Linked DNA regions of Drosophila melanogaster. The gene in region 2 interacts genetically with the main gene of each other region. Each region holds a gene or a part of one and is shown on either strand. Other genes may lie near its edges. The genes, in order: Gale, Galt and Galk.

Region 1 (6,198 bases), on a different chromosome or scaffold from region 2:
TACTTAAACGACCGAGAATCGTACTCGTACTCAAATTCAAGCTCAGAATCGGGCTCTTCACTTGATTCACTCTTCATAGATTGTACTTTTGTATTGAAACATGGGTATTACAATTACAGTAGATGAATAGAGAGATATATTTCAACAATACAATATTGGTGGCATTGGTGGTTCTCATGTTATGTGTTCTAATATAGTTTAATTTGTAATGAGGTTACAATACAATATCCTTAAGGTCATAAGCTTAAGTAAAGGTGGGCAGAAAAGTTCAGAAGAGTGGTCCAATTTTTTCGAATTTTTTGAGTCAAAGTAACAAATTTAATAAATGTAATAAATTTATGTATGTAGTCTCGACTTCGGATCGCGCATAGAAAAGTGCGTTTTGAATTTAATTTTCCATATCTTCAATTTAGGAATTGAAAACTTTTAGACGGGCCATGCGGGTTCTGCCAGAAAACGTCACGAAATATGTATAAATTGCTTAATTTGTGATAAGCATTTATGGTGGCCCGGGCGATCCCAGTTTCCAAGTCGGTCTCCGTTGGGCCATGTGAAAAGTGCACCACTTTCACTATTTCCCTACTTCATTTTCCCATTGCCGATCCGAGATCAAATTAAAGTGCCAGAGTCGGTGCTTATCTGGGGTGGTCTCTTTTGAGGGAACGCAGAACATACATAGATGATTATCGGGCACAAACAATAATGCGGAAAATTGGTTTTATTAAGATGGATAACCGAAATTTACAATAAGTGTAAGCAAGGAAATTCTATTCGTTTGGCATTCTATTCGTGGAGTGGAAAGTGTTTGAAATAAAAGATCACATACTAATAAACATATAAGTACAGTAAGTAAACAAGAAGACGGACATAGCTAACGGGCCGGGCCAGACCCCCCGAAAACCTTAGCCCCAGCAATAACAGCAATCCAACTCTCGGACCGAACTGATAATTCCCCCATATGTGCAGGCGGGATTGGATTGGGAGCTCGCTTCTATACATATATATATATATATATTTATGTATGTAGACTAGACCGCAGCACATTATGTACAAATACGTAGCTTTAGGATCGACCACTTCCACTTGGAGACTTGTCCGTTCTGTCTTTCTCTTTCCAATTCTGTTTCAGTTCAGTTTCTGTGGCTGCGACTCTGACTGTGCAAATTATTGTCGCTCACATAAAAAAATATTGCAGGCCAGCGCCATTCAGAGGCGAGCAATGCCGGAAGTTCAACTAACTCATTTCCGGTTGTCAGTATGTACATATGTGTGCCGCCCGAGAATCTCAAAATATATGTAGATGTACGTATGTATGTAGTACATGCGGTGTGCGGTAAGCATGGTCTTGCGGTATATGTATGTACTGCGTCTTCCTTATCGAGTGAGCTTTCCCGCATTCGAGAATCGATTCGTTTCCAGATGATTATGTAGATTATTATGCCGAAGCAGTATTTTACGGTTTGTTCTAATTTTGGGACTCTTATGCCGCAATTTTTTTTAGCGATAAATTGAAATGGAATTCGGAAACCATAATCAGAAAAACGATTTATTGACTGAGATAGAACTATTCAAACAAATAACGATTATCGACACTCCAAAAACCATAAGATAAAGCCGGTCAAATGCCAATCTAGGTTAAAGCTCCGAAGCTTTCGACCCATTCATGCATTCCATTCATTCAGAACCGAAAGCAGGCGCATTTCATTGAGAGACTCGTCGCTGCGCAAATACATTCTCAATTAAGTTGTAAACATTGTGAGATCTTTTTCATTGCGTATTGAGCACATGCACTTCCGCTTATCATTAAAGATTTGAACCGAATTTGGGTCACCAAAAAGCTGTCCGAACTGCGGTTCTAGTTATTTATGACGATGTAGTTGTACGCATTGTACTGAAGTTTGTTGTTATCAAACGTTTGCTTTTCGAGTTTAAAATTAATTTTGAATCTGCTCCGTTTATCAGTCAAGTAAAATGTCAACTTATCTACATGTAAATTTTACAGAAGCACATGGCAGTGATGCCAGATCATATAAGATTATTATCTTGGGGATAGAATGCGTTACAAAATTACATTGCATTATGAATTTGGCGTTATTCTCTTATCATATGTTTAATTAATTACGATTTGTGATTTTATACGCTTTATAATGAAAACTATTTTTTTACCACCCCTATTCGCGTCTCCAGAATGTTTTCACATTTAAACACCGATATGGGCGCACTTCTTGTTTTAAGTTGTTCATATCGATAGACAGCCAAGAAATTTATCGAGACGAATCCCACTGTGCCAGGTAGCTGAAAAATCGGCGAATATGGCAGCGTCGAACGAGCCATGTCGCGTGGCAACGCTACCACTTTGTTTACTTTTATTCGGAGAGCGAAGTGAAGAGCACCTGGAAATTGCATTAATGGGCATGGAATCGGGAGCCAAAGGTCAGCGGCGATAAGGATGCACTTCGAGGTGACCCCGGCCGTCCGTCGACCAAGTCAGCCTGCTGCTAGCACTTGAATTAAAGTGACAGGAGAGCTCCGAGCCCACCAAACCACCGAAACTGATAAGAAGTGCGCGTTCGGAGAACGGAGAACAAGTTAAATAGGCTCCGTGGAGAGCCACCAGTTCAGTTGGCCAGCGACCGCAGATCAAAACAGACGTACGACAACACAGATGAATGAGGAAGAGTGCAAGAAACGGGTTAGCACACGATAGCACTCAACGGTCAGCGATCTTTGGCATCTTCATCTACACCATCATCTGCAATCTCGTCGGAGATCAGAGGCGTTGTTTTTAGGCATCGGAATCCGAGGCGGAATCGTTTCAAGGGCACGTCTCTTGCGTCTAGCTAAACTCAATCTGATTCACTGAGCGGGGATTCTCTACCATAATCACCTGTAAACAGGTGAGTTACCCGTTTTTCGCCAAGCAGACGGCTATTTCGCACGCCTGCCGAACGATTTTGGTGACGTCAATAAGAACTGGGCACTCGTGTGGCCTAATTTCGTGTGTTTTCCCCTTTCGCCACTTAGGATGGCCCCACCCACGGTCCTGGTCACCGGAGGAGCCGGCTACATTGGCTCCCACACGGTTCTGGAGATGCTCAATGCGGGCTACAACGTCATCTGCGTGGACAACCTGTGCAACGCCTACAGCAGCGGGGCCAAACTGCCGGAGGCCCTCAGCCGGGTGCAGGAAATCACCGGCAAGAAGGTCAACTTCTATAGAGTGGACATCACGGACAGGGAGCAGGTGCGCTCCGTCTTCCAGGAGGTGAGCACACGTAGCATTACATAGCTGGCACGTCAGCAGTTCGGAGGTTCTGGGGCAAATGTGCCAACTGGATACCATTCAATCAAGCTTATCTGGCATGCGCGCTATCAGCTTTTTTCTCGTTCGCGCTTGTTTTGTTGTTTGCTCAAGTGGCGGGGCACTTCCGACGAACCGCCGTGCTGATCGACCCTGAATGAAAGACCCACTTGGCGAGGTCGCATTCGAGTTGGTGCGCTGGCATCCACATCCACAACAGCTCCCGGGCACGTACACTACAATCTGGGTGGTCGGGAGCCCAGATTGCAGTGTTTACATCCATTGATAACCAAGAGAATTCGCTAATTCGAGCAGGTTATCACGCATTCTTGAGATGTTCGATCAAAGGGGTTTTTTTTGTTAACCACCGTCGTTTATAAAAAACAAAGCGTTTATTTACATGTAATGAACATTATAAAAATGCACGTTGTTGCCCAAATAGCCATGAAATATCTTAAGCTGATACTTTTTCATATTTTTATTCAACCATAAATGCACACAGCTTTGTGCTTACGCGCACTGATTACTGAATAGATTGAGCAGTATTTGTTGTGGTGGAATTTTTTACCTAATCAGCACTATCAACAGCTATTTAAAGAACACATAATTGTTTGTCAATAAATCACCTTGAAATCAATGTGATACTTTCATTTAATTGCTATTAAATTCTGCACTTTACGTTTATAAGAGGCAATATCCTTGTGCTTACTGAAGAGCTGGTTATTACAGATTTGGATTTCCCAAACTAATAGGTACATATATTTACATCCCTTTCAGCACAAAATCGACATGGTGGCCCACTTTGCCGCCCTGAAGGCCGTGGGTGAGTCCTGCCGCATACCTTTGCAGTACTACCACAACAACATGACCGGCACCAATGTCCTGCTGGAGGCGATGGCCGACAACAATGTCTTCAAGTTCGTGTACAGCTCCAGCGCCACCGTATACGGTGAGCCAAAGTTCCTGCCCGTGACCGAGGAGCATCCCACGGGCAACTGTACATCGCCCTACGGCAAGACTAAATATTTCACCGAGGAGATTCTCAAGGATCTGTGCAAGTCTGACAAGGTAGGAGGATGTCATTTCTTGATGTCCATAAGTTCTGTACTAAAGAATTCGCTCTTTCAGCGTTGGGCAGTGGTTTCGCTGCGGTACTTCAACCCGGTGGGTGCCCACATCAGTGGTCGGATTGGCGAGGATCCGAACGGCGAGCCCAACAACCTGATGCCCTACATCGCACAGGTGGCCGTGGGTCGACGTCCCAGCCTGAGTGTCTACGGCAGCGACTTTCCCACGCACGACGGCACCGGCGTGCGCGATTACATCCACATCGTGGACCTGGCCGAGGGACACGTAAAGGCGTTGGACAAGCTGCGCAACATCGCGGAGACGGGCTTTTTCGCCTACAATTTGGGCACCGGCGTGGGCTACTCGGTGCTGGACATGGTGAAGGCGTTTGAGAAGGCCTCCGGCAAGAAGGTCAACTACACTCTGGTGGACCGACGGTCCGGAGATGTGGCCACTTGCTATGCGGACGCCACGTTGGCGGATAAGAAGCTGGGCTGGAAGGCCGAGCGTGGCATCGACAAGATGTGCGAGGACACGTGGCGCTGGCAGAGCCAGAACCCAAACGGGTATGCCAACAAGTAGAGCTGTATATCGCCACGTTCCTGCCGCTCCGCAAGTTCCTGAGTTACTACGCCTGATAATGGCTCAGGTAGCAATTTCTATTTGCCTCTAGTTGTGTATATTTCTTTCCAAATTTCGTGTAGTATTCGCTCACTTCGATGTGTGCAAGTGTGCGTATGTAATCCAAAGTACTTTGTAATTAAAAAGGCTTTTCGCTGTTGTCATGTAATTTTGTGACCGTCATTTACGCGTTTGGTGACCGCTGGCATCATTGACGCGTGCCAATTGGCGCAATCACGTAATTAAGGTCACCGACAAGGTGGCACTGGGAGATTACACTTGGCATTAGGTAAAATAAACACACAACTGCATCAACCATTTGTCAGATCTTAATCAAAAATGGCATAATCACATTAAGCTGACCAAAGTTACAAGAAGACGTCTAACTCGCACATTTATTTAGCAAACATTTATTCAAATGCAATATAACATTAAAAACTCAATTTTAAACTTAAGTGATGCGCCTTCTTCGCACATATCTGCACAGTTAAAGTCATTTATCACAAGTATGTACTATGAATGTATGTTTCTTTCAACAACTCTGCGTTCGGCTGCTGCTTCTGTTTGGTTTTGGAATGGTCTGCACGTATAAAAGTACAAAATTGTTTATATTCGAGCCTGTTGTTTCTGGGAGTGTTTGTTTGTATCGGTATTTGGCAATCTGTTTTACACTTAGGAGCTTGGCGATTCGTTCAACAAGTGATGGAGAGGCAAAGAAATCGAATTCAACAAGAAGCATTACTAGGTGCTACATTTACGTCTGGCTACATGTGTGTGCGATATGCATACGTAATGAATTAATATGTATAATATGGTAGTTCTAAGTATTCGCATAGGTTGCAGGAGGCAAAGAGATCCGTAGCCCAGAGGGGCGGTGGAGGGGATAGTTTAAATGCCGCTTAAATACTGCTGTAGTCTGTGGAGACCCTGCTCCGAGCACCACTTATGTGGAGGTCACGCCCTTGCGGGCCACCAGCATGTTGAGTATCGGGTTTTTCCGGATGTAGCTCACGGCCTTTTTGTGGGTGACCATGGTGAAGTCGTAGCCGTTGCACTGCAGGATCTTGTCGTGGATCCGCAGACCTGCTCGGGCGGCGGGACTGCCCTCGTGCACCTCGGTCACATAGATGCCCTATTTTCAAAGGGGAAAACGTAACATTGTAACATTGAAACTGCTCTTAAGATACCGAACTAAAACTAAATTCCCC
Region 2 (5,177 bases):
GTTGGTGCGGCGCCTGCGTCTGTGGATTATGCTGCGGCTGCTGCCTGGCTGCAAGAGTCTGCTGGACAATGGCCAAGTTGTGGAGATTCTGCAACTGGCTGGCGATGACCGTGCTTGAGAGCATGTCCAGCTGCTGCTTGTGCTGCTGCTGCTGCTGCTGGGTGTTGGTGAACTGCAATACAGCAGTGATGGCCTCGCGATCCATGTCCGTCAAGCGTGGGTTGGCCAACTGCACCAGCAATCCGTGCTTGGATATTTCCCCTGGGAAGTAAACAAACCAAAGAATCATATTGAAAACATGGAACTAACTTTGTTTTCATCATCCAATCGTCACCTTTAGTCAGACGGAGCAGTAGCAATTGGGTGTCGGCCCGGCCGAGGATCGCCTTCAGCTGCAGGCTCGCCAAAAAGGCGGTATGTTGCTGCTGCTGCTGTATGATGAGGTGCTGCTTCTGTTGCTGCTGCTGGTACTGCTGTTGCTGCATTATAAAGTTGGAGATGGCATCATAGCCAACCGCCTGTGACTGTGGCTTAGCCGAAGAAAGAGACCCAATTAGCTTCTGGAAGTTATCAGTCTGCTTGTTGGCAGTCTCGCCAACATTGTTCAGTGAGTTTCGACGCCATTTGGCCTCCAGCTGATCCACCGAAGGCATCTGTCCGATGTGGCCCAACGATTTGGGCTGCTCCGGATTGTTGCCATGACCCTGGTTAATGGCCTGCTTGAAAAACTCGTTCAGCGAAGAAGACGAGGAGTTCCCCTCATTGGCAAAGAATGACATGAATTTAGAGTTGTTCGTGTTTGTGTTCGACTGCTGCTGCATTTGCTGAGGCTGCGTTTGCGGCGGCTGTTGGTGATTAACATAACTGCTACTCTCGTAATTCTGTTGGCTTTGATTGAACTTATCAAACTGAAACGAACGGCCACTGCCTGGGCGTTTCTCTTCCTTTTGTTGCTGATGCTCGGTAGCCATAACATTATTCATGTTCTCCACGTTATGATTATTGTTAGTGTCGTGTTTGGGCATGTATTTGCTTCGACCCATCGGCTCCGCATGCGTCCATTTGTACTTATGGTCCATCTGAAACGAGTTATCTTATAGATTGCGTCATGGATTGAACTAAGTGCATAATACTAACCTTTTGTTTTGACGTTTCTCGCTCTGTTTCGCCTAATCCGTGGTTTTTGTTGCCCTCCTTTAGCATTTTCTCCTCGTCCTCATCGAACCCACACAACTCTATAGTGTCCAGTCTAGACGTGGGTCCACAGCTAAACCACTCAGGCTCCTCGTTCTGGTTCCTGTACCGCCGGTGATGTCTATCCTCGACATCTCGTGACTTGGGCTTCGATACAACCAGGAATCCAGACATTACGCGCTTTACATAGTTCTCGTTGGCGCGACTCAAATCTTCACTGGACTCGTTCGAGTGCAGGGTGTCGTTCTCGGATCGATTGATAGACATCCCCATCACAGGAGTGTTCGGCCGTCTTTGAGGCTGACTGCTGATCTCGCCGTTGTCGAAGAACTGCAGCACCGTCATGTTTTTGCTGTTCTTCGAGTTGACCTCCTCCATATGCTGCGACTTGCCATTGTGGTACGAGTGGTAGTCTTCGTCGTTGTAACCCCACTTGGAATGGTTTAAGCGACCGCTGCCAATGCGTCTTTGGTTAACAATGGCCGGATCCTGAAATAATTATTCGAATATCTGTAGATTTTTCCATAAAACTTTAAAATTCTCTCGGCTATCATATACCTCTTACTTAGCTAATAAGTTTTAAAGAAATTAGATTACAGTGATTGCAATATAGCTGAATAGACTTTAGGAAACAGTTTGTTCCAATCACAATAATTAGGCAAACAGATACTGCATAAAATATAAATATAACTATACTTATTTAAACATTAAACAGCCATCTCTATGGACGTCTTATCGACCACCGCGCATCACTAGCGGCACACACAATCGCGCTCACACTGTTTACACACCCATATCAGAACGCCCAGCTGAGTGGGAGAGATAAGGCTGATGGAAAATTCTTCCACTGAAAGGCGGAATGCGTGCCAAACTCAAACTAAACGCTCGCCGGCAGAGTGAGCGGAATAATCCGAAGAGAGAAAAGAGAGGAATGTAGCTGAAGAAGCGCGCTTTGCTAAGCGAAAAACAGCTCAACTGGAATCGGATTCAGAAGCAAAAGCAGAATCACAATCGGAACACCAATATCAGCAGCATTAGGAGCTGTAATCGCAACGCGGCAGGTTGACATTGGGCTTGTCCCGTGAATCTGAAGTAGTCATAATCCGATCGGAGTGATACGGAGCGCCAGTCTTTCGACACGATGCAGTTTGTGGCCAGTGGTAGGTTTAAAAGAAGTTCCACCATGCCAATTTGATTCAGTTTCTATGGCGAATGGTCATATGTTGATCAACAATTAGTTCCAAATCAATGGTCTGGTTTATCGCTGCTCAATCTTAATTAAAATCGAATGTCATTGCAGAGCACCCGCACCGACGTCTAAATCCGTTGAACGGCCAATGGGTCCTAGTGTGCCCACATCGCACCCAACGCCCTTGGTCGGGTCAGCAGGAGAAGGCGCAGAAGAACGAGCTGCCCGAATTCGATCCCACCAATCCTCTGTGCCCTGGCGTCACCAGACCCAATGGAATCGTAAGCGACCAAACTAAATCCTCGCAAATGTTTTAAGCATTCTCACGTGTATATTTTGTAAATGATCAGCAAACTCCGGAATATGAGAGCACCTATGTGTTTGAGAACGACTTCCCGGCCCTGGTGGAGGTGGTGCCCGTTCCGCCCAACAACGATGATCCACTGTTCCAGATAGCTCCCGCCCGTGGCAACTGCCGAGTGATGTGCTTCCATCCCAAATCGAATCTGACTTTGCCCACGATGAGTGCAGCGGAAATCGTCGTTGTTATCGACGAGTAAGTGGAGGATTTATGGTTTATATCAGAAGATACTCAAAATAATAAACCCACTTTTTATCTAACTGCCTATCTAGGTGGATCAGCCAGTTCAACGAGCTTAGCGCCAAGTACGCGTGGGTGCAGATATTCGAGAACAAGGGAGCCGCCATGGGGTGTTCCAATCCCCATCCGCACTGCCAGATCTGGTCATGCTCGTTTCTGCCGACGGAACCGCAACTGAAGCAGGAGCGTCTGCGTGCCTACTACGCCACCAACGAGCGGCCCATGCTGGCCGACTATGTGGAGCGTGAGCTGCAGCGCCAGGAGCGGATTGTCATTGAGAATCGCGACTGGTTGGTGGTGGTGCCCTTCTGGGCCACTTGGCCCTTCGAAACCATGCTCATCTCACGCAACAACAATAAGCGGATCAATGATCTTACCGCAGAACAGCGATACAACTTGGCGCTGACCATAAAGGAGCTGACCACCAAGTATGACAATCTGTTCCAGTGTTCATTCCCCTACTCGATGGGTTGGCATGGAGCACCGACTGGGCCGGAGCATGCCCACGCATCCAGTGCTCATTGGACCCTGCACGCCATCTACTATCCGCCGCTGCTTCGTTCTGCCTCCGTGCGCAAGTTCATGGTGGGATTTGAGCTGCTGGCCATGGCCCAGCGGGATCTGACTCCCGAACAGGCAGCCCAAAGGTTGCGGGAGGTCGATGGAAAGTGTCATTATCTAGAGAAGTGATTTCGCTCGAGGGTATTTGTAGAATCCCAGATGGTTTAGAATTCAATAAAAGGAAATAGTCTAATACGACTGTAGTAATTACTTCATACTTATTCGCAATCAGTTGTAAAATGTTCTAGATTAGTGATTTGACTGTGGCGAGGGTCCAGCCAATGATCAGCATGATTGCCAAAGACCTCTGGAGGTCATGCAATGCAATCATTGATTTATCAGATAAGCTCAGGAATAATGCGACTTTGTGTTACCTAATGCAAAAGTGGGGAAAATGTTCTTAATCGATTAAGCGATTTTTTCTAAGCAGAAAAGGCGGGAAATATGATTTTTCATAAAAGAGCTTTTCTGAGCAGACCAAAAAGACAATTTGGCCTACAAAGGAAGGGGTATCAGATGGTCGAGGTACTCAAATGAATCGACGCCATGTGTAACTGTAACAATTACCGCACTGTCACAATCACTTTTTCCTTTTCAAATCATAAGTTTTCCATTAAGCTAACCAAGTCTATTTTATATAGAATATATGGCAAAATTGAGTAGAATAGTATAAGTTTAACTAGCTTACTTGGAACTCCGTTTGCGGCTGGGGCGGTTGGCTCTGGATGATGGACTCGTCACTGATTAGGTTCGGCTTATTTTTGTTTTTGAAGAAGGCAGGCATGCACTCATTGTTGTTGTTGTTGTTCATGTTTAAGTTAGCTGTGGTGGAGCGGGTCCGGAATCTTGTGCCGTCCGAGGTGCGCCAAATATTCATGCGGCGAAGCCTTCCCTCCAACTCAATGTCGTCGCAGGTGGCGATGCGAGGCATCACAAAGCTCTCCTTGGACCTGTGCATCAGGGCATTGAACATCCCGTTGCGAATGTCCATCAGGCGGGAGCGGGTATAGCTCTTGACCGGCTTGCTGCTGACCACCGGAGCAGTAGTAGGACGAACAGCCTTGGGTGCTCGCAGACTTCCTGGCTTGTGAATGCCTGTGCTGGGTGGACGCTTTTGCTGCACCTGACTAGACTGCTGCTCCGGCACGGCCTCCTTGCTGGCCACTTGCTTCCGCGGCGAATCGTGCTCCAGGTCACAACTAACGGCCGTGCAGGACAACATGCTGGAGGGCTGTGTGTACGGTGTGGATGCTCGGGCCGAGAGAACTTGCAGGGTCAGACCCTCGTCCTCGTGCAGATGCTTCGAGGGTCCATGCATCGGAATGGCCTCCCCCGAAATGGATTCGAGGATTTGATTCTGTTTGGCCAGTAAATTGATGATCTTACAACGCCTCTCCATCTCCACAATAACGGCGGGCTTTTTGGTCTGCAGCATAACAGCCGTGGATGTGGATGCCAACATGGATCCATCGCCGATCGTTTCTGGGTTTGAGCGCCTGGGTAACATCTCCAGGGCCACCACATTCTTGTTTTTGATGGAACGAGAAGACTGTTTGCCAAAATAAAAACAACATTGAAAAAACTTCATGATATATGAGAGTGCCTGTCTGTACTCGATGTAAAATAAGTGTC
Region 3 (7,388 bases), on a different chromosome or scaffold from region 2:
TCCGGATCAAGTAGCCGCTAATCACCTCAGCCACCTCGTGTGGACGGTCCTCGTGCACGGCGTGACCGCAGCGGGCCAAGACCTGCATCTGGAAGCGACCCTGCATCTGGCCAACAGTCAGGGTGCGGTCCAGTCCATCGATGCTGGCGAGGAGTAGTTGCTTGGGCAGGCGCAAGTTAAGGAACTTATCGCTCAGCCCCGAAAACCAGCCCACCCAGTACTTCTCCGACTTGGACAGATCAATGCGCCAGGTGTAACTGAGAAGCAATCAATGAATAATTTGTGTTTTAACTAAAATAAAATAAATTGGACTACGTACTTTTTGGCCGCTTCGGTTGTCGATTTGGTCGTGTTGGGCTTCTTGAAATCCGCGCCAGCTGCGGCACTTTCTGAGGAGCCATCGGCGGCGTCATCGCCCGGCGGTGACGATTCTTCATCCTCCGAAATGCTAAACGGATTGGGAAACATACTGTTGTGGTGGGCCTCCTCCAATACATCATCTGGTAATGGCAGATCATTCGTTGCCAGTTTGTTCGTTGTACAACTGCGTGGGATTGATTTATTATTACTTTTCTGTCGTTTACGACAATCCTACTCACTTTATTATCTGTCCCGGCATGGACACTTTGGCGCTGTCCACATTGCGCACTTGGCCGCTTCGGATGCACCACTCGATAGCATTCGGAATACTCTGGAAATACTTTGGACGGGAGCGCAGAAAGCTCTGCATGCTGGCTAGTGCCTCCATGGCTGTGCCCTCCACAACATCGATGACGGTTATTCCAATCAAATTGGGCACCAGAGCCATGTGGGCAAAGTGGACGGCGATGGCGCCGCCCATCGAGTGGCCAACCACAAAAAGCTGCGGCACTTCTTCAGGATAGAGCTTCAGGATTAAGTCACCGATGTCCCTGTTTAGAATATTTTAAACATTATTATAGATTATAGATTAGATTATTATGGTTTTTAGCTTCAACCGTGAATAAAGTAACTATAAAAAACTAAATAATATTTACAAATGAGTGATCGTTCAAATAGATCGACCTACTTTAAGTGCAGTGCGCTATTTTTATAAATAAAGAGATTATGCAAGTTTAGCCTAATCGTTCATAAAGCTAAGAGTTAATGCGAGAAGTTTTACTCGACAAAATCTTAAAAATATTGGTTTTTAATGTAAGCAGTAGAAAAATTTGCATAACCATCTCTAAAACATATTTTGAGAACAATATTTTTTTGGATTCAACTCACTTAGCCAACGTATCAGCGGAGAGATCGTCCTCGTCGTCCACCTTGCTGTCCCCATGACCTCGCATATCGATGCACAGGCACTGGCAGTGGATCATGCTGGTCACCTCAGACTTAAATGGATATATGTACATGTTAAGACTATTTAACAGAATATATCGCATTCACTCACACAAAAGTGCGCCCAGGTGAGGGCAGAGTAGCCACCGCCGTGGAGCAGAAGGAGAACTGGACCCGGCTTCTCCGGTTGCTTGGTGCGATAGATGCGGAAGGTGCGTTGCTCATCCACCGTGACGTCCTCCTTCTCCGCAAAGAATTCGTTCCACATGCCCGGCTTGTAGTCGCGAATGCGCGACTTCTTGAACGAGTCCCTGTAATTAGCCAAATTGGGTAGAGATTGCGTACTCCCCACTCCAGTCGCAGAATACCCTGCACTTACGCTCTGCCAATGCGCCCGCCAGGAATTGTGGGTGGCAGCTTGCCCTTCAACATCGTGCGCTGTAAACTCGACATTGATCCGATTGTCTTCGCTGTGGGGTCAACAGGTGGTGCTCCTACGGTGCAGGTGCAAGTGGTTATTCACACAGTCGTTGCTCGCAATTATCCGTTTTCGAAAACAAAAAAATAGTTCCAATTCAACGAAGAAGTATTGCAGTGTGACCGTAATCGAGAAAACCGTAACTGACGCCAGCTGGCAGCGCTGGTTCAAGAGCTGCACTTGGCAATGCCCTTGTCTGGCAACGCCTAACCGCAACAGTCAACATTTCAAATTCCAAAACGGATATTTTAGGCTTTTGCAATCAAAGACGAAAATCCGTACCATACTGAAACAACAACAGTTGTATATTTTAATGTTTGTACATTTTAATCAATTAAGTATTTTAAAAGTTTATCTACGAAAAAATTGATGAGCTCCCCGAAACACTTGTACCTTATCAGCTTTGTAAATACTTCACATTAATGGCAAAATAATAAGCAAGGTAATAACCTTTCGCAAAGTGGATGTCAAAACCACTTTTTAAAGCAGACAAAATTTGGAAACCAGTTTTTTAGAATGCTAACAAGAAAGAATTCATATGCTATGAAGATGTTTGACCCATTTAACGGTAAAGACAGCTAGTTATAAACTAACAAAGCTCTCAACAAGTTCCTACTGATACACACAGTGCAACATCGCTAGCTGGGAAACTGGTGTTCTATAAGGTCTCCGAGCATTTATATTTCAGTAATGCTACTGATAAGGAAGTATCACTTTATTGTTCATAGTATTCCGGACTAAGCAAAAACGGAAACGGAACGGGCCGGATTGCTCAGTTGCTTGATGGAACGCGACGTGCTCACACCGAAAACTAGAACTCCTCTCTGATAAGACGGCACCAAGTTAATTTGACCTCAAACAGAGAAAGATAAGGCATTGTTGGGTATGTATCGGCAAAAGTGTAAAAATCTTGACAAAATCCTTTATATCTGTGTTTATTCTGGTATGTAAACAAAAGGTAAGCTCAATACAGGTTAAGTTTATGGTTTCGAGATAAGATAAATGTCATGTTTGTCATTAATGGTCTATTTAGATTATGCGGCAGTAAGTTTAAGCGGTAGTACTTTTGAAAAACAATTACCAGCTAAGAACTTTATTGCCAAATAATTTACTATTAGTTGGGACTAGACATAAACATCAATTTCGCGGATAAATATTCAAAATAAAATCTTTATCCATTGCGCATTTCAAGGGTTAATGCTTCTGCAAGCCTGGCAACTCCTAAATAACAGCTGTTGGCTATAGTCCTCTCGCTCCCGCACACCCTTCCTTTTCATTTACCGGCAGAAATTGCACTTTTGTACTTGTTTTTTGCCCAATTAAGCGGTCAAATTGGCGTCAATCTAATGTTTTAGTGACTTTGATGCCGTTTCCCCAACTGATAACCGCAATGTTAGTACATCACTTTGTGTGCTAATAGCTATTTGGACATATTGATAAGGTGAGATGGGTTGATAAGCTAATTTTTGCACAACCACAGGTGCAATTGTTTTTCCCTTTGCCACGGCTATTTGTTTACGTATGTAAATTTGTTTTTGCCCATAAATTTAGATTAACCAGTTGCGACACGTTTACGGTTCGTCGACTGCGAAAATAATGGGCATTATTAAAGTTTCACCCGCCTGCAGGTGAACATGACTGCCAACGGGAACGGAACTGCTCAGGATTTGGGTGCCGGCATTGAAATCGTGGCCCCACAGAAGCTCCAGCCGGAATCCAAGGTTTACGGGCGCGTGCAGCAATTGACCGCATTTTTCAAACAACAATTCGGAGCGAATCCGGACTTTATCGTTCGAGTGCCAGGAAGGTGAGCAGTTCCACTCGTGGTGCACATCTATAGTCCCTTATCGATGATATCTCCTCCTTCTCCTAGGGTCAACATCATTGGCGAGCATGTGGACTACTGCGGCTATTCGGTGCTGCCCATGGCTGTAAGCCAGAGCATTTTCCTTGCAGTGGCCAAGAATCCTAGTGATAGCCAGCTTCAACTCAGAAATCTCGAGGAAGCGAAGTTTACGGGCTACGATGCCGATCTCAAAACGCTCAGGTGGGTGAATCAGAAACATGATAATTACCGACCTTAAGCACTAGAAAATTTTCCATTTAATTTGTTATAATAACAATGTCACCTTGAAGGCGGTATCTAAACGAATTTAGAAATGATAAGTCCAAATATTTTTTTGCTATTTTAGAATCGAGCTTCCAAAGAGTGGTGGACCCGCTTGGTATAACTACTTCTTGTGCGGCATCAAAGGAATACAGGAGAGTCTGGGCAGCCAGTGGAAGCCCATTGGCATGCGCATTGCTGTGGACGGTAATGTGCCCTTGGCGGCAGGACTCTCCAGTTCGAGTGCCATGGTCAGCTCCGCTGTGTTGGCCACCGCACACGTCCAGGGCAAGAAACTAGATCGCAGGGAGCTGGCTTCCATTTCGGCCATGTGTGAGCAGTACATTGGAACGCACAGTGGTGGTATGGATCAGGCAATAGCCTATTTGGGCAGAGTTGGCTGCGCCCACCACATCGAGTTCCATCCCAAGCTCAAGGGCACTCCGGTGACCTTGCCAGCGGGCAAGTGCTTCGTTGTGGCCAACAGTCTGGCTCAAAAGAACAAGGCTGCTTCGTCGGACTACAATGAACGAGTGGTGGAATGCCGATTGGCCACTAGATGGCTGGCCAAGCGCAAGGGCTTGATCAACTGGGAGGATATTGTGCGCTTCATTGATCTAGAGGAGGCGTGCCAAATGGATAATGAGACTTTCGAGAAGTTGATTAAGGACAACTTAACGAAGAGCAACTACACGCGAGCGGATATCTGCAAGGAGTTGGGAGTCACCGAACAGGAACTGGAGACCAAGTTCCTATCCGCCAACACTCGGCACATGGAGCAGTTCAAGCTGCGTCAACGTGCTCTGCATGTTATTCAGGGTAAGTTAATCATTTACAATCAGGATTTCACATTTAATCTGAATCATTACGTGTACATTAAATTTATTGATCACCAAATGAATAATTACAGTCAATTAATAATACGTTGACATTCATTTGTTGTCCGAAAGATTTAAACTCTTAGCAAATAATATTAAATTGCAAGATCAGTTAATAACATTGTTTCCGCCTAACAGAATCCGGTCGCGTGGCCAAATTCCGGAAAATTTGTGAGGAACTCGCCGGCGGAGCCAATAAGGAAGGTGCAAAACAGCTGGGTGAGCTCATGCGGCAATCCCACGAGAGTTTAAGGGAGCTATACGAATGCTCTCATCCTGATGTAGAGCGCCTGATTGCCATATCGAACCAGCAGAACGTTAGCGCCCGAGTCACTGGAGCTGGGTAAGAAAACCGATATCCTAGTGACTCTATGAATTTAATCAACATTATTCTTTTTCAGTTGGGGCGGTTGTATAGTTGCCATGTGCGATTCCATAGAAGCAGCTGATGAGTACATAAAGGTTTTGAAGCGCGATTACTATGCTCAATTGCCAACACATCTCCTGGAGCGTCATCAGCCCAACAACTTTAGCGAAGTGGTCTTTGCCACTCTACCAGGAAACGGAGCCGAGTTGTATATACAGTGAACGCTTGTGTAGCATTTTAATCCAACTTTTATACCAAAATCATCCTATCAGTCACTATAATCAAACGGTCATTTATAGAAAAAACATTTAATATGTAGAGTACTATGTACAATATATTAACAATTTACAAGCTAAAATACAACAAGGCACGTGGGGAACGGAACTCATCTGGCATCGTGAGTTCTATCTGCTACTCAGATAGCCGGCGTTCTTGAAGAGCTTGTACACCTGTTCGCGCGGTATTTTCTCCGCCTCACGATGTACCACTGCCATTTCCTTCTTCGTGAGCAGTGATTCCTTGGCCAGATTGGCAGCGATCACGGGATCATTGTAGAACCGCGCACTCTTCGACAGCTCAGCCGGCAACTCAGACTCCCACTGGGCATTTCGCACCACCGAGGGATGGGCATCGGCTGTTGCATATCCCTGGTACGGATTGGCCGGTTCGTAAGCGTGCGCAACCGGCAGACCCAGCGCCTGGTGGTAGAAGAACTGGGCCCGAACCGAACTCATGGCCAGAAGCAGGCATCCAGCGAGCAGCGTTACTTGGCAGGCGGTCGGCATGATTGGCTGCTGGAGGGGAGAAAAGGAGCAGGAGCTGGCATTATTGTCCAACGTTCTAATAAAGCGATACGGACAGATTTATTGCCGCTGGTCAGTGGCAGTTTTTAATCTACAAGTCGGCTGTCAGTTTCGTGCGTCATAAATTATGTACGGGAAAATCAATTATCGCATATGGCCAATGGAGTGGGCAACGCGGAGATCTTGGCTCAAACTGTTACAGTTGCTAATCCATGAACTTTTTTGCAACTTGGAACTGGCTTTTTTTTATTGATAAGAATTGGACTGGCCGCGAACTAAATGGCGAGCTTTATTTGTCAAGCGTAGAGTGCTCCAATTTGGTCGCAACAAAGCAATCGTAGCTTGAGATATAAGTACAGTGGTCTCTCTAGAACTCTTTTGAGATTTTAATTGCAATTGGGTAATTTGCTATAAGGATTGGTGAAAATATTATTTTTTATTTTACGTTATAATGACATTATCGAAGATGCATTTACCAAATGTATTAATTAAGAATACGTTAGCAATGAAATTGATTTAAATCATGATCATCCTTTTTAGGCTTTGATATATTCACTTCGAACTGAAACCCTGATATAATCCTTGAAAATGTGACATTCGTTATTAGATTATACACTCTTTAAACCTTTCTACTTTTTAATGATCACAGCCACTGTACATGCATTTTTATTATGCGCCATTAAATGCATTTACATATTCCAAGTCCAAATTGATACGTTGATTCAGCCAAAGTCAAGGTTACGATCCCACACAACCGAATCGGATTTCGGTTCTCCAAAAAGCACCCACTCGCACAAACACACGACACTCACTCACTTTGATCTGGACTTATTTCAACGGCTAATCCTCGAGAGAAGCACTTCAAATGAAACTGGAACACCTGGGTGAAGTTGAGACTGTAAACTGATCATAGAATATCGAGACGGCGAACTTTTATTCGCTTGCCGTTGAATGCCACAAAAACGAGTTGAACTCAAGTCTGTGAGTCAACCGATTTTCGAATCTCGCTCAAAGCGCCGCTTCTGAGCGCCGAGAATGAGTCAAGTTTTTTTTTCAGACCAGGCTGCTGCTTTACATTTTATTAAATTAATTATGGTCGCAGTGGAGTGGATTGGATTGGATTGAAGTGTAGAGTAGAGTGGAGCGAAGCGGAGGGGACTGCAATTCTGGTACAGACTGACCTAGGCCTAGGCGCTCAGCTTGGGCAATTAAAAGCAATGATATCTGTCTCCGTTTCTCATGCTCCATAAAAGTGCCCCCCAAAAAAGGTCGGACTGCCAGTCGGCAGCGTTATACGCATGGCAAAAGTCGCACAGATATATATCAACGTGCACCATATACAAATACTCGCAAAAACAATAGTTTGAACAATTGATAACTCAATTGGTTTATTATTATTCAAAGATTATTCATCGCAGCACAGAAATAAATATTATATGTTTAACTTTTT

Evidence for each region.
Region 1: of Galt (region 2) and Gale, changing one enhances a phenotype caused by changing the other (phenotypic enhancement), as found in Drosophila melanogaster (one study listed by BioGRID).
Region 3: of Galt (region 2) and Galk, changing one suppresses a phenotype caused by changing the other (phenotypic suppression), as found in Drosophila melanogaster (one study listed by BioGRID).

Annotation. Positions count from the first base shown.
Region 1 is NT_037436.4:646,155-652,352, forward strand, and holds Gale (UDP-galactose 4'-epimerase), read left to right. Parts: upstream 1-2,400; 5' UTR 2,401-2,897; intron 2,898-3,024; 5' UTR 3,025-3,025; coding exon 3,026-3,265; intron 3,266-4,078; coding exon 4,079-4,369; intron 4,370-4,429; coding exon 4,430-4,951; 3' UTR 4,952-5,157; downstream 5,158-6,198. Other genes in the region: CG3402 (uncharacterized protein), read right to left, coding at 5,934-6,122. UniProt on the Drosophila melanogaster protein: Catalyzes two distinct but analogous reactions: the reversible epimerization of UDP-glucose to UDP-galactose and the reversible epimerization of UDP-N-acetylglucosamine to UDP-N-acetylgalactosamine.
Region 2 is NT_033779.5:6,664,848-6,670,024, reverse strand, and holds Galt (Galactose-1-phosphate uridylyltransferase), read left to right. Parts: upstream 1-1,991; 5' UTR 1,992-2,335; coding exon 2,336-2,354; intron 2,355-2,494; coding exon 2,495-2,664; intron 2,665-2,733; coding exon 2,734-2,939; intron 2,940-3,016; coding exon 3,017-3,674; 3' UTR 3,675-3,761; downstream 3,762-5,177. Other genes in the region: cup, read right to left, coding at 1-261, 335-1,079, 1,138-1,683, 4,234-5,094.
Region 3 is NT_037436.4:8,981,255-8,988,642, reverse strand, and holds Galk (galactokinase), read left to right. Parts: upstream 1-2,551; 5' UTR 2,552-2,666; intron 2,667-2,826; exon of another isoform or gene 2,827-3,224; intron 3,225-3,334; exon of another isoform or gene 3,335-3,411; 5' UTR 3,412-3,417; coding exon 3,418-3,590; intron 3,591-3,656; coding exon 3,657-3,830; intron 3,831-3,975; coding exon 3,976-4,709; intron 4,710-4,906; coding exon 4,907-5,111; intron 5,112-5,169; coding exon 5,170-5,356; 3' UTR 5,357-5,539; coding exon of another isoform or gene 5,540-5,920; 3' UTR 5,921-6,431; downstream 6,432-7,388. Other genes in the region: CG5068 (uncharacterized protein), read right to left, coding at 1-257, 320-544, 600-911, 1,249-1,358, 1,418-1,616, 1,685-1,758; CG13314 (uncharacterized protein), read right to left, coding at 5,540-5,920.